Linked DNA regions of Alligator mississippiensis. The protein of the gene in region 1 binds, or shares a complex with, the protein of each later gene. Links are inferred from orthologs where the notes say so. Each region holds a gene or a part of one and is shown on either strand. Other genes may lie near its edges.

Region 1 (7,561 bases):
CATGTGGGTAAAGTGACAAAAAGAGAAACACCACGAGTATGATGATGCATTAAGGTGAATTTTGCAATACATCATTTTTTGGCACCAGCTGTTGGCATCGGGCTGCAGATCACAATAGACACTACAAGCCATCTATTAATCACATCCAGTCAACATTTTTTGCTCAATGCTCTCAAAATAGCATGACACTTAATCTTGTTTCATGTTAAAGTGAAATAGTCCTTTTTTCTGGAGTTAATTATATATATCTATACATAGATATAGATATAGATATAGATATTCAATAATGATATACTTTCTGATAGTATTCAGGCCTGTATGACTAAAATAGTACATATCAACAGCTCTTATATGCCTATACGAACACTTTTAGACAAATCTCAACTAATTTTTAGAAAAGATGGTTACTTATCATCCTGTACAAAAACATCAACTTGGTTATAAATATGCTACTGGATACTGAAGGACCACCCGTGGGGATGCCAATTAACTAATTAATCCAGAGGGTCATTAATCCTCTATGACCCACAGGTAGTCAGGTTCGGGGCATTAATTTAAGTTAATTTCCCTGAGCATTGATTTACTGCCTGACCCCACTCAGAGTTAGGAACAGTAGCTACACAATATAACATATGTAGGTTGAGCAATATAAGCTGTATTACACAACAAAATCCATGCAACAACTATCCGATGCAATATTTCCATAATACCTGAGCCACAACACAATAAAAGACACCCAATGGAACAATAACCCAATGCATATCCCAAACTCAGTGTCCCACACAACTAATCAACTACACATTACAATGAGCTTCGGTCACTACACAGTTGATATGTTGTGAGTTCAGCAACAATACTCTGGACACTCCTGTGTTGAACTAACAGTCATTTATTATTATAACTCTCTAGAATCATATCCAGGGTGGATCTTAACAGTTGCATCAGTAGATGTATGCTGATCTTATGCCTGCTCTGCCTCTGACTTAACCCAGTCCAGTCTTGCGGAGGGAGAGGAACAAAGATTGCCTTTGACTCTTCATGGCAGAGAACATGGAGTGCCAGTGCTTCAAAACTGCCACAAAGCAACCGAACCCTGCAGTGCCAAACATGAGGGCTTTGGTCTTAAAGGGACAGTACAAGGAAAACACAATAAGATACAACACCCCTTCCCCCTAGACAGAATAGTCGGCCAACCATTTGAGAGGACTCCACTTCCGCTGTGGTCTTCCCATAGAACCGGACTCAGGGAGGGGTTCAGCAGATGATAGCCCTGTCAGCCTATCTGGAGACTCAACAGTGATGCTTTCTTCTGGTGATGATGGCAAAGGGTTTGCACTGGTGGAAACAGGTAGGCACTTCCCCAGTGAATCCATGTCTATCAGTGGTGGATTGGTGCTTGGGAATTGCTCAGGTGAAGGGTTATCAGTAGGAGAATGCCCACGTAGATGGTCCACATGACATCTCCAAACTTATCCATCATCAGTCTGGACTATATATGATATGGGTCCTGTGGCGCTTACAATTTTAGATTGAAACCACTGTGGGCCTGTCCCATAGTTCCGAGCAAACACAGTCTCTTGTGGAATGAAAAAACGTAAGGTACCAGATGCCAATGTGGAGTCCAACTCCTTTTCTTTCTGAAACTGCATGTCTCTCACAAGGTCTGGGTTAACACGGTTAAGGCATGTCTTGAGACGATGGCCCATAAGAAGCTCTGATGGGCTGGACCCTGTTGTAGGGCAAGGAATTACATGTTGAGCAAACAAAAATCTGGCCAATCTGGTAGGCCAGTCTCCTACAATGATCCTTTTCAATGCATCTTGTGTGGTCTGCACCATTTGCTCAGCTTCCCATCAGCCTGTGGCCTGAGAGGTGCAATGGCAACAGTTTGAATGAGGTTGTGGCTGGCAAAATCTTGGAACCCTGATGAGGTGAATGCACTGCCATTATCAGAAATGATAGTGTCAGACACCCCATGGGTTGCAAACAGCTGACAGAGAGCTGTTATAGTGGCAGTTGATGTAAGAGTTGAGACAGTAATAACTTCAAGCCATTTTGAGTACTAGTCAACAACAATTAAAAAGTTCTTACCTTGAAAAGGGCCAGAAAAATCAATGTGGATGCATGACCAGTGTTCCTTTGTCAATTCCCAAGGGAATACTGGTGCCTTCGGTGGATTATGATGGGTTGCTTGACAAGTGCTGCACTCCCTCACAACCCGTTCTATGTCATTGTCCATACCTGGCCACCATTCATAACTTCTAGCCACTGCTTTCATCCTCACAATGCCTGGGTGTGCTGCATGCAATGTTGTCAGTATGATTTGGTGTCCTGCTTCTGCAATTACGACATGATTTTCCCACAAGAGGCAACCCTTGTGGGCAGACAGCTCATGCTGATGTTATGAAAATGGCCTGAATTCCTCAGTCAATTTGTCTGCAGGCCAGCCCCTCCACATCCAGTTGAGAACAAAGGCAAGGATAGGGTCTTTTGCAGTCATCCTTGCTATCTGAGCAACCTGATGAGGGGCTTCTGGCATGGATTCCAGCATGAGGACTTCCGTTGGTGGAGGAGTAGTACAATCAGGTATTTGTAGTGGTAGGTGGCTCAATGCATCAGCATTTGCAATCGTTTTCCCAGATTTGTACATGAGTGTATAGCCATATGCATTTAGCATGGTGCTCCAGCATTGTATGCAGGCAGACAAAATAGGAGAAGTTGGTTTGTCCATAGTAAAAATTCCAAGAAGGGGTTTGTGGTCTGTTCGGATTTCAAATTTGAGGCCATAAATGTAAATGTGAAATTTTTAACTCCTTCAATGATTGCCAATGCTTCTTTATCAATCTGTGCATAGTTCCTCTTGGTTGAAGTCACTGTTCTAGAGTAAAAAGAAACAGGTGTGTCTGTGCCATCAAGCAATGTGTGACTGAGGACAGCGCCAAAACCAAACAGCAAGGCATCACAAGTAATGGACAGTGGCTTCTGCTCATCCTAGTGAACAAGGACAGAGTCTGATATCAGTAATTTCTTGATGTGCTAGAAGGCTTCATTGTGCTGGCAAGTTCTCTTCCACTGAGCTCCTTTATCCCATAAGCGATGAAGATGCTCTGCTATGGTGGGATTGTCTCTTAAGAAGATGTGATAAAAATTGAGAAGTCCTAAGAATGCTTGAAGATCCTGTCTGCATTTTGGTGTCAGGTAGGGGCATCATGTATTGCTTTTACCTTGCCTTCAACTGGGTGAATGCCAGAAGCATCCATTTGATATCCCGGAAAGTTGATATTGGAAAGTCCAAGTTGACATCTCTCTTTTTACTCTGATACCTGCTTTATCGAATCTCTGTAAAACTCCTCTGAGTCTCTTAGTGAGTTTCTCTCTAGACAGCCCCATGATTAACGCATCATCAAAGTGTGGAACAACCCTGGGAATTCCTGCTAGCATTTTTTCCATAAATCGCTGGAAAATACCTGGTGCCACAGAAGTTGCAAATTGGAGGCGCTTGACACGGAACGCTCCCCAGCGTGTAATTATTGTTTGGGCCTTAGCATCCTTGTCATCCACTATCAATTGCTGATAGGCTTGAGCAAGGTCAAGTTTGGCAAAAACTTTCCCTCCTGCAAGAACAGACAGTAACTGGTTAATGGCAGGCACTGGGTGCAGATCCTGCTTAAGTGCTTTATTAACAGTGCGCTTGTAATCCCCACAGATGTAAACACTGATGTTAGGCTTTAAAACAGGAACAATTGGTGTGGCCTTGCACGATAGGCCAATCTAATTCTGCATCAATTTTCAGCTGCAGTGCGAAAGGTACATTCCAAGCTTTCATTAAGATCAGGGCTATCACAAGATCCATTTGGAACATCACAGGTGGACCAGAGTAAATTCCTAATTCCTCAGACAATACGTGGGGAAACTCCCTTGCAAGCCTTTCCAGACTTTCTGTGCAGAGACTGTGTACGCTTTGAACACTGATTCCCAATGGTGAGAACCAATTTCTCCCCAGAAGACTTTTGCGGGAATCCTTAGTGACAATGAAGGGTAGATGCTGTCTAACAGATCCATACTGGACATCTACACTGCAGCTACCCAAAGTTTCCACACTGTCCATTGTAGTCACACAGGCGACACTCAGGTTTCAATAACTTGGGGACAGGGTGCCGAAACAACTGGAAGAATGTGTTTTAATGTATGAGAGATACTCCTGAACCCAAGTCCACTTCCATTTTGCACTTCTCTCTATTTATTACTACAGTTGCAATGATCTCAGAACCTTGAGTTTCAACAACACCAACATTTTAAATCAAATATAGTTTTTGTACCTCACATCTGGGGAGGGAGAGGAACCAAGAATGCCTCTGGCTCCACATGGCAAAGAACGTGGAGTCCCAGTGCTGCAAAACTGCCACAAAGCAACTGAACCCTGCAGTCCAAACATGAGGGCTTTGTCCTTAAAAGGACAGTACAAGGAAAACACGGTAAGATAAAACAATAGTTAACTGCTGTGCAACTTCACAGACACCCCAGAAACCACAGATGGCAGCAAGAACACCCTAGGCCTTCTCAGCAGGAGAAACCCTCTGACAGTCCCTGAGGATTTCTAGCTTTTCCCTGCTTAGGTACTCGGCACCTCCAATACGGAAAGGGTGATACTTTACCCAATTCCAGCTTCCTCAGCCGAAGCCCAAAGGAATGAGCACGAGACAGGTAAGCCTCAGCGAGCTCAGTCCCAACCAGGTCACAGCAAGGAACCTGAACTTGACAAATTCCCACACCCCAAGAGCCTGGAGTCAGGACTGTCCAGTCAGAGTGAGAGCAAGGTGCAGCCCAAACCTGAGTGCACAGAGCACACAGAGCTCCTGCTAGCTGCTCTGGATAGGATTTATGGTCTTCTAATCACACCACCTGTCACTCACCCAATGGTCCAATCATCGCCCTTTGCACAATACCCAATCAAATTCAAACCTGGGCAATACTTAAAAGGACCAATCAATTCAAACTATTTCAAACCAATACAAGCAACATTATCATAATTAACATATCAACATTGATAAACAGTTGCATTACCATTATACACTGCGCATGCCCAGACCTTAAAAGTAGGTCATGACTTCATCAAGGTTGAGAGTTCAAACCCTCTAGAAACTTCTTGCCTCTAGTCATACAGCACAAGTGTGGACTTTAACTGTTCTACAATACTTAAAATGATTTCTTATTACTGACTTTGGAGAGTTAGGGTTGCATTTTTCAATGAGTCTCTGCCTAGTGGGATACTTGAAAATCAAACTTTTTGGCCTCAATTAAGACAATAGTTTTGTAGGGGGTTCACCCCCTGCGCATGGCGGTGCACCCCCTACAAAAAGGTGTCACCAACACTTCCAGCAGCAGCTGTGGGTGGTCATCAACTCTTGGTCAGTGCTCACCACCCCCACCCCACCACTGACAGGACTGGCAGTGGGAGCTCCCCTGCTTACCACCACTGTGCTCCCACTGCTCTTGCTGCCACCACTGCACTCCTGCCACCGCTGTGCCCCCCCAGCCACTGGGGGACACAAGTCATTCATGCTGGAGGACTTCATTCTAGCATCAGGCCAGACATCAAACATGCTCTGTCTCCAACACAGAGCAGTGTTACCCTTTCTGTAGATAGTTTCATTGTGCCTGCAGAGCAGGGGCCAGGACCAAGGATCTTTTTCCCTCCCTGAGAATTGTCCAAGCTAACAGATTTCCTCTTGCTTACTGTACCGTTTGTACATTTTATATTGGACAGTGATTGGTTAAAAAAATGTAACTAAGCCTGGCAGCTTGAATGGGGGACTCCTTTCCAAGGGCCTACCCTAATAAGCTGGCTTGTTTTCCTCATTCTAGAACCATACCTCTTACATTTTGGCTCCCCACTGGCTCAGCTTCAACTTGAACAGTAGTGTGTGCCCTTGGTTAACTCATTCTGGTAGATCTTGCATTTGAACTATCAGGCTACATAAGGATGAATCGCCTACCTCCAGAAACTTACCCAGAAGTGCAAAAAGTGGATTGATGCATTGTGAATTGCAAGTAAATGGAAATGCAGATAGCAAGAGTCAGGTATATAAGCTCCTGAGAGGGTGGGAATTCAGACATACTCCTGTACATTAGCAGTCCTAGCTAGCTATTTCTACATTCTTCCAAGCTTCTGAATTGCACTTTAGAGGTACTTTACACTACCCATTCTCTGTATGTAACATGGAGGCACTTATACCCCAGTGTCTTATAAGCTATAAACAGGCATTGCCAAATGAAGTGGATCAGCTGTGCTGGGATGTGTCCTGGCACAGCTGATCTGCTTCATGGGATAATGCATAAATGGCCTGCATAGCTGGGCCTCTGCCACTCACAGAGATTATTCCCTAGGCATGTGTATTGCAGACAGGTTTCCCCATATGCAGAAGTGTGCCCCAAGCTGGGATATGTCTGGGCAATACTTACACCTGAGAAATCTCCTTTTGTTGGATTTCAGAAGCACACATCTGCAAACAGAGAACCCAGACAGACACTACCCTGGCTTCCAGGGTCCAATCCTGTGTTCCCCAAGCATGGGAATATGTCTTGGGTTAGTACTATTCAATAATTTTATTAATGAAATGGGAATTCTTGGGGCATGCAGGATCAGGGCCCTGGAGCCCCACATCTGCCTGTGGTGGTTTGAAAGTGGGAGTAGCTCAGCACTTCCACTCTTCTGCCATAAAGCAGACAGACATCTGCCACAATAAAACAGAACAAATGTATGCTACCTTTTGTTGCAGCCACAATTTTGGGCATCTGTGATGTGACAAAAGGCATAGATATCTGTTTGCTAGGCATTTGTGCTGCTGTAAAAATTTGCACAAAGGCACAAAGGCAGCATCTGTCTCCATCCATGCATGTCTCCAAAGTCTCTCCATTGACTACCTGGGTATCCCAGGTGCCTCTCTAGGCCATTTTGAATCACTGCCCTAGGGCAGGTGATCAAAAGTTAAGTGAATCCATGCTGAAGTCAAGGCTCTACTTACACAGTATGAATCTGTATTTATTTTTCAAAATAATATGATCCAACTCTTATGGGTCCATTAATGAAAATACACAATCAGTTAGAAGATTACATTCAGAAGATTCAGATTATTATTAAAAATAATGTATGCCAAGATAATGTGCTTGACTAATCATATTCAAATTTTAAGATTCAATGAATAATTTATTTTCTGTTGCTGTTGCAGACTTAAAGACCCAAAGTCTCTGAAGAACGAATGAAATTCAGGCTGCCTGTTGGAATAGTACACCTGACTTGTTTAACAAATCTTGGAGTGGAGGTCATTACTATCAGGTGATCAGTGCAGCAGAAACAATTATCCTTCCTTCTCTAATTGGGATTATCTGTTCTACTGGTTTCATTGGAAATATCCTCATTGTGATCACTATAATAAGGTATGGAATATAGCATACGTTATGCAACAGTGGTTAACTATTGCAAAAATATATGAATAATTTAAGGCAGGGGTCAGGAACATACACTTAGTGGGCTAGATCTGGATCCACTGAGAGCCACTGG
Region 2 (6,337 bases), on another chromosome or scaffold:
AACATTTTCATTGCTGATATATTACAGGGGTTAGTGGATAGTTAGACTGTTTTTTTATATGTTTATTTATATATTATTAAACATTCATGGCTTATGTCATTTTAATCACAAGACTATCAAAATTAACTTTTTCCTTTCCTTAAATATGTTTATTCTCCTACCTGGCTGAAGGTATGAATTCAGATTTTGAAAGACAAGCATTTGGAACTAAATCTGAAAATATTCACCAGAATGGAAGTAAAAGTAAAAAAGAAGATGCAAAGCTGAGCTGTCAGCTAAGAAACAAGAGCACAAAGAGGAAACAAGTGGATCTGAATAAAGAAGTCATCTGTAATAATGATAATGAACCATCTCAGGATACAAATATTAAGAGACCTAAGACTTCAAACAACCCTCAGAAGAAATTGGACAGCAAATTGGATAGAGCAGGAAAAAGCAACAAAACTACAGCCAAGACTAAATTGATTTCTGGTCAGGCAAAATTAACTCATTTTTTTAGATCATGAATCTTATTTTTATTTTGACACATATAATTGTTTTACTATTACATAATAAACATGGTAAGTTTTGCAAGAACAAGACAACAGATGCACAAATACCTTGACTTCATTGTGTATGGTAATGTGAATAGCATACATATACTATTAAACAAATATATCTACAAATCTGAATATGCAGAATTTTCTGTTTTAATAATGATACCACATCATTTTTACAGCTAGGTTACTTGATGATCATTGAAAATGTTTCCCTCACCTTGAAATACAGAGACTAGTACCTAGATTTAAGTGTATAACAATAGCAAAACACAATAACTTCACGTTTCATTAAACTGGCAACCAAATAATTTAATCTCCTTCAAGGAAAGTGAGGCTGGCCAGCAATTTTCAGACTTGCCAACAAGGTCGATAGACTCTTCCCAACATACACCTGAGTACTGAAAAAGAAAAAAAACCTCCAAAAGTTTAAATTGTAAAAATTGGGATATATTATAGTGACATCTAGCAAGATTGTTAATTTTTAACAAATAAATATACCTGAAATAGTCCAACTAAATATTTAATTTGATTATATCTATTAACACATTGTACATTGATAAACACTAGCACATAATTTCCAAATTTCCTTTTTCAAACATTTGCAAGTATAATCTTATTCAACTAAACATATATACTGCATTACGTCAAAGTTAAAGTGCAAGTATACTTACTGTCAAAATCTCTCCTTCCTATAGGAAACTTAGCAGAATTTTCTTCATCACCAACCTCTCTTCTTTCCTGTATTGATTTAGTATTCTTTATTTCGGTGTCAGCTGGAAAAGCTACTGATCCCTTCAGGGCAAGATAAGGTAGCTGTTTTATAGCCAGGTTCAGCGGCAGACTGTGGCTTATGAAATTATGTTTGGAACCTATATTCTGGATTTTAAAAGGACTGATTAAAATTTTAAAGACTGTTACCATTGTGCTTAGACTTCATCAAGAAAGTAAGTAGTGCAACTGAAGATGATCTTTAAAAAGTAAACATCATCATACAATAGATGTTAATTGAATACTGTTGTATTTTAAAAAGCAAGTTAATAGAATATGTGTAATCAACCTAATTGTTTATTATGGTTGTAAACCTCCTTCATATACCAACTGGCTGAGACCAGAATATGCATTATTAAAAAATAAAAAAGAAAGAAAAAGAGAACTACATAAAGTAAGCTGAATTCGACCCCCCGACATACACATAGTCCTGATCACCTACATATCTTTTTAGAATAAGATACCTTTTGTTACCCAAATACAGATTAATATGCCTAATATTAGATGCATGCAATTAAAAATTAGCCTATGAACATACACTAAATTGCAGAAATGAGTGATTGCAATTATCTGCCAAAGCATCCTTTATAAGTGAAAAGTATTTATCTCTTAAAATGAGTCTTTATTTACATTTTGGAGTTGATTAAGAAACGGAAACTCACAAAGAACTTTGGGTTTCTGTCTTCCTCTTCATCCTGAAAACTAGCATCTTCCATCTTATAGTGCTCAAGAGGTGTACCCCCTGTCTTCTCTGTTTTATCTCCATTCCGCAGAGATTTTCCTAGAGTGAAGGTGTTTAGTAGCATGTCGTCATCTTCTACGTTCTGCAGAGACTTTGAAACTGAAAATAGAAAACCTTGGGAAAGAAGAGAGAAAGTTAGTATTAACATGTAGGATGAGAAACACATTCTTAGTTGCTTAAAGTTGGCATAGAAGTTAAATGGCTTCAGAGATTTAAGACGGGTTTCCCTTGCAAATTAACATGGTCTCCAGCTATGCCTATCCTTATATATTTCACAGAGTGAATAGAAACCACTTCAGTGGCTTATGAGTTCATCCTTTATGAGTGACTCATAATAAAGAGGATAACCTTTTGTATAGTACTTGTAATGCCATATGCTACTTAAGTATATTTTCTTTTTTTAACATGGATAATTAGTTTCTTTGTAGACTTTTAGGGCAGTACAGCTTAGTAGTTTCTTTTAATGGATCAATTTAACAAAGTCACAGGATATAATCTCAATTTATGGTCCTGATTAAAGCAGGCCTTAATTTCCACTTAAGTAGTTTTAGAAAAGAACTAATTTACACATGAGAAATGCCATCCATAGAGTAATTTTGTTTTAAAGATTAGTAATATTATATTTTAAAGTAGAACTGACTTTTTAAAATCACTTTTAAACGATGTAATTGAAAATGTTAACAATTGGCAATGACTTTACATTATCTTTGGCTTAACAGAGGTAAAGCTGAAACCTTTAATGAATTTTTTATGTCCTGTATATATGATACCTTTATATAAAGTTATCAGTTAGAAATCCTCACTGATGCCTTTGTTACACTTGTTAGACTTTGAAGCTGAAAGGAGAACAGTATCCCAAAATCTAGCATCATATATTTAGGTGTTCTGTCATTTTGGATGTATCAAAAATTCTTGCCCTCTCTCTCTTCCTCTAAACAAAGAAATTCAAGTTTTACTTAAAATTTACTCTATTTTCAAATAGAATTGATTTTTTTCAAAAGGTAGAACCCTATAATAAAGTATTTTGTTCAGAAACAGGATAATGCTGTAGAGGAGGATTTGTTGTTGTTATTATTTTTAGGGATTTTTCCATATTATCCTACTGGAGCAGTGTGGTGTCCCCTGTGGGAAAAGTGCATGGAACCTCCCCAATCTTAGCATATCCCTTTTTATAAAACAAAATAAAAAAGTGACATCAGAGCCAGCTGTATAGTATGGCTGTTTATCTTTGCACTGGTTCTGGCTCCCACATTTATTCTCATTCCAGAGAGAGTGTGAGTTTGTCCAACTAGTAGGAGAACCTTCCTAGACTGTCAGGAACCTGGCCCAAGCAGCCAACTAAGCACAGAGTGAGAACTGTCCTTTTCATCTTTTCTAATTTTCTTTTTATGTACCTTTTTATGCATCCTCATACTTTAGGTAAAAGTTACTTTTGCATCAAACAGCTACAGTTCTTTCTTGCACTATATATATTTTTTTTTTACTTATGAGTAGGTAGCATCTGAGATAATCCATTGGCAGCCTTTCCAGCACTGGGTTGGTTGGTACCAAGGAGACATCTGGACTTGTTCATATCTGTTTAGATATAATTTACATTGTGTTAGGTGTTCTGTTTTAACCACTCTGTGCACATAGTGGGCTTAACAACGCCAGTATGCAGATTTTCCTTACGTCCACTTAAATTACACTTCTGAAAAATGATTTTTTTCCACGTAAGAGCCTGAGATTAAGTGCCAGTTCATTTACTTACATGTAAAGGTACTTTAGAAAATATCAGCTCTTGTGTTTTGCTTTCATTACTATTAATCTTTCTTAGTGGTTGTTTAGTGGTGTCAAGAGGTCCGCTGGTTCTCATTTTTGGTGGGCTGGTTCCCATTTTGTAAGTGCTGTATACGCTTAAGATGAGAGATCCTGCCCCCAGAAGTTTACAATCAAAATAAAGACAAGGTCTGACAAGTGAATGTAGAACAGAATGAAGTAGGACCTGGGTAAGATAAGAGCTGATTATCAGGAACACAAGTTTACATACTTTACTCAGGATAAAATGAGGTGTTATGCTGCTTTGTTTAAATCAGTGGTTTGTGACCTTTTTTTGAAATTGAGACACCACTCACTGTATTTGAGGCAGTCTTCATTGGACTTAAGACACACCTCTGTAACTTTTTTTAATTGAGTGGCACCCAGTTTCCAAAACTAATTTATATATTACAGGGCTTACTTCCTTGCAGAAAGGCTGGGCAGTGAGGGTGGGGAATCATCCAGGCAAGAGACAAGCCTGACCCTGTGCTTGGTGTTTAATTCATCTGCTTATCTCCTCACATGTTGCAGTATCGTTCAAAGGATCTGATGGAACCTTGGTAGAGGATCACTGGTTTAAAAGGACAAGATGATAATGAATAGGTCGCTTGCCTAGGCACTGCTAGGCAGTTTAGCATGTTTGCAATGGTGGGAATTTGTCTTGCAAGACTTCTGAAGTGGCTTTGCAAACTGGAGGTAGGTTTTGTGTGGTTAAGCTGCAGTATGAAAATAGATACCAAAGTACTTATGAAAGAAGCAGGCAAGCAGACAATGGAGACAGCCGTTGCATTTTCAGTCAAAAGCGACCATGATAATGAGGACTTAAAGGCTGGATAAAATGGGAGAAAGTAACTTATGAAAGGCCTTCAAAATAAGGATAAATTTGTATTTGGGCTGGAGACTGGAGCTTGTGAAGGACTCAAAGTTTGAATCGGTCTGAAAGACTTCCAGACAAAGTCTAAATCTCTCTGTCTGTCTATATTGCAGTCACATGTAGACTTAATTAATATGTAATAGCTAAGTAACTTGGATACGAATATCAGGGTAGCTACCACATAGTGTAACTTGGTGTGAAATAACCGTCTTGGTATAGAAAATTTGTTGGGTTGGGTTTTTTTTAGGTGAGTTTTTCATTCTGTACTGCCACAGTTGCACTATTGTCTATTTGCTCAGTCTCATGGGTAAATTTTTTTTTTCTTTTAAGATTTTCAATCCATCATTTGGTTTTCAACTTTTTGTTCTGATCAAATTTAGGAAATGTAAGCAGAGGTGCAAGAAAGCTTATTTTAAACACTTAAATTTTCTTTTTCTGTTTTCTGTTTGTTTTGTAATAATATTTTGAGTCAAAACAAAAATAGCTCTGAAGCAAGTTTATAAAATTCCGGGTCTACAGTCCTTGCATGATTAGGGCAGGGAAACCATCTTGTGTTTGAGCATCCTGAAGAAAACGAAAAAAAATACTTATCTCTATATTGGAAGGGGCACTTTACTCCCTTCTGTGATATTATTTAGATAACTTCACTTAGCATTGTGATATGGGGCCCTCTGTTATCTCAGAACCATGGTTGTGTTGCCAATTCAGTGAATGCTTGTTTTCTTTCAGATCCAGACAGTCTAAAATGAGACTGCTGCTGCCTCCTTGGCTAACTGTTCAATATCACCCCTCGCCCCCTTATTTAATTTTTAAAAAATTTTTCCGTGGTCCAAGACAAATCAGCCAAATCAATTCCAAATCCATGAGTCAGTCCAGAACCATAAGTGGCTGTACTACCAGCAGATATCCTCCACCCTCATCTGGGGATTCAGATGTTCCCAAATCCTTTGGCGGGCATCCTACATGCAGGCCCAGTCCCAGAGTTTTGGGGTTTGGATGCCCCCGAGTTCCACTTGCCCTCAAGCCATATGGCTGCAGGAGCAAACTAGGGAAGAGTCTCCCACTTCCATAAAGTGGGCATAAAGCCAAAATCTCTCCACTCCAGCAGCTAAGTGGAAGGTTAACTATGCATTACCTTTGCCGGTACTACTGCACCCCTTCACTCTCTAGTACTCTTCACTGCAGAAGTGTCTGAGCTTCCCCTTACTGCAAAAGGGCTGGGAATCTAGCAGCCAGCCACTTGGAGAGGGTGAGGCACAGACTTTTAGCCTGTAATGACTAGCTGGTTTGTAAACTCTGGCCCATGCCAGCAAAAGGCTGCCGACCTCTGTTCTACATTGTTGCTAATACAGAGTGAGGTGGAGACTGCAGAATGGTGCCCATGTGGCTTTGCACTTCTTAGATTGCTATGCGGCATTACTGGCATTTCCTGTATCAGTGTGTTGCCAGTCAAGGACAGCCCCAAAATCAGGCCTAATCAGGACAAAACCAACTGTGACTTCTGGCTGGTTGAGGACATAGATGACATGTAGCAGGGGCATGTGCCCCCCCCCCCCCCCCCCCGAAATTGGCCCTCGCCGATTAGAATTTCCAAACAGTATTGCTAAAGAGTTCTGT

Evidence for each region.
Region 2: the proteins of MCHR2 (region 1) and PMCH are in contact, whole or in part, in a cryo-EM structure (PDB 8WST), measured with the Homo sapiens proteins. The link is inferred for Alligator mississippiensis from reciprocal best matches to the Homo sapiens genes MCHR2 and PMCH. Residues at the interface, in NP_001035269.1 of Homo sapiens: His82, Gln92, Trp93, Gly96, Gly97, Thr110, Asp113, Gln117, Ile175, Phe177, Val181, Ser183, Cys184, Ala185, Phe186, Leu188, Thr189, Ser190, Pro191, Val194, Tyr197, Thr198, Tyr267, Gln271, Asn274, Met277, Glu278, Gln279, Pro280, Phe284; in NP_002665.2 of Homo sapiens: Leu151, Arg152, Cys153, Met154, Leu155, Gly156, Arg157, Val158, Tyr159, Arg160, Pro161, Cys162, Trp163.

What each region holds. Positions count from the first base shown.
Region 1 is NC_081824.1:85,931,228-85,938,788, reverse strand, and holds the start of MCHR2 (melanin-concentrating hormone receptor 2), read left to right. Parts: upstream 1-4,433; coding exon 4,434-4,475; intron 4,476-4,616; coding exon 4,617-4,704; intron 4,705-5,865; coding exon 5,866-5,917; intron 5,918-7,254; coding exon 7,255-7,437; intron 7,438-7,561. UniProt on the Homo sapiens protein: Receptor for melanin-concentrating hormone, coupled to G proteins that activate phosphoinositide hydrolysis.
Region 2 is NC_081827.1:107,277,380-107,283,716, reverse strand, and holds PMCH (pro-MCH), read right to left. Parts: upstream 2,341-6,337; 5' UTR 2,216-2,340; coding exon 1,970-2,215; intron 1,416-1,969; coding exon 1,211-1,415; intron 938-1,210; coding exon 888-937; 3' UTR 764-887; downstream 1-763. Other genes in the region: PARPBP (PCNA-interacting partner), read left to right, coding at 172-506. UniProt on the Homo sapiens protein: MCH may act as a neurotransmitter or neuromodulator in a broad array of neuronal functions directed toward the regulation of goal-directed behavior, such as food intake, and general arousal. May also have a role in spermatocyte differentiation.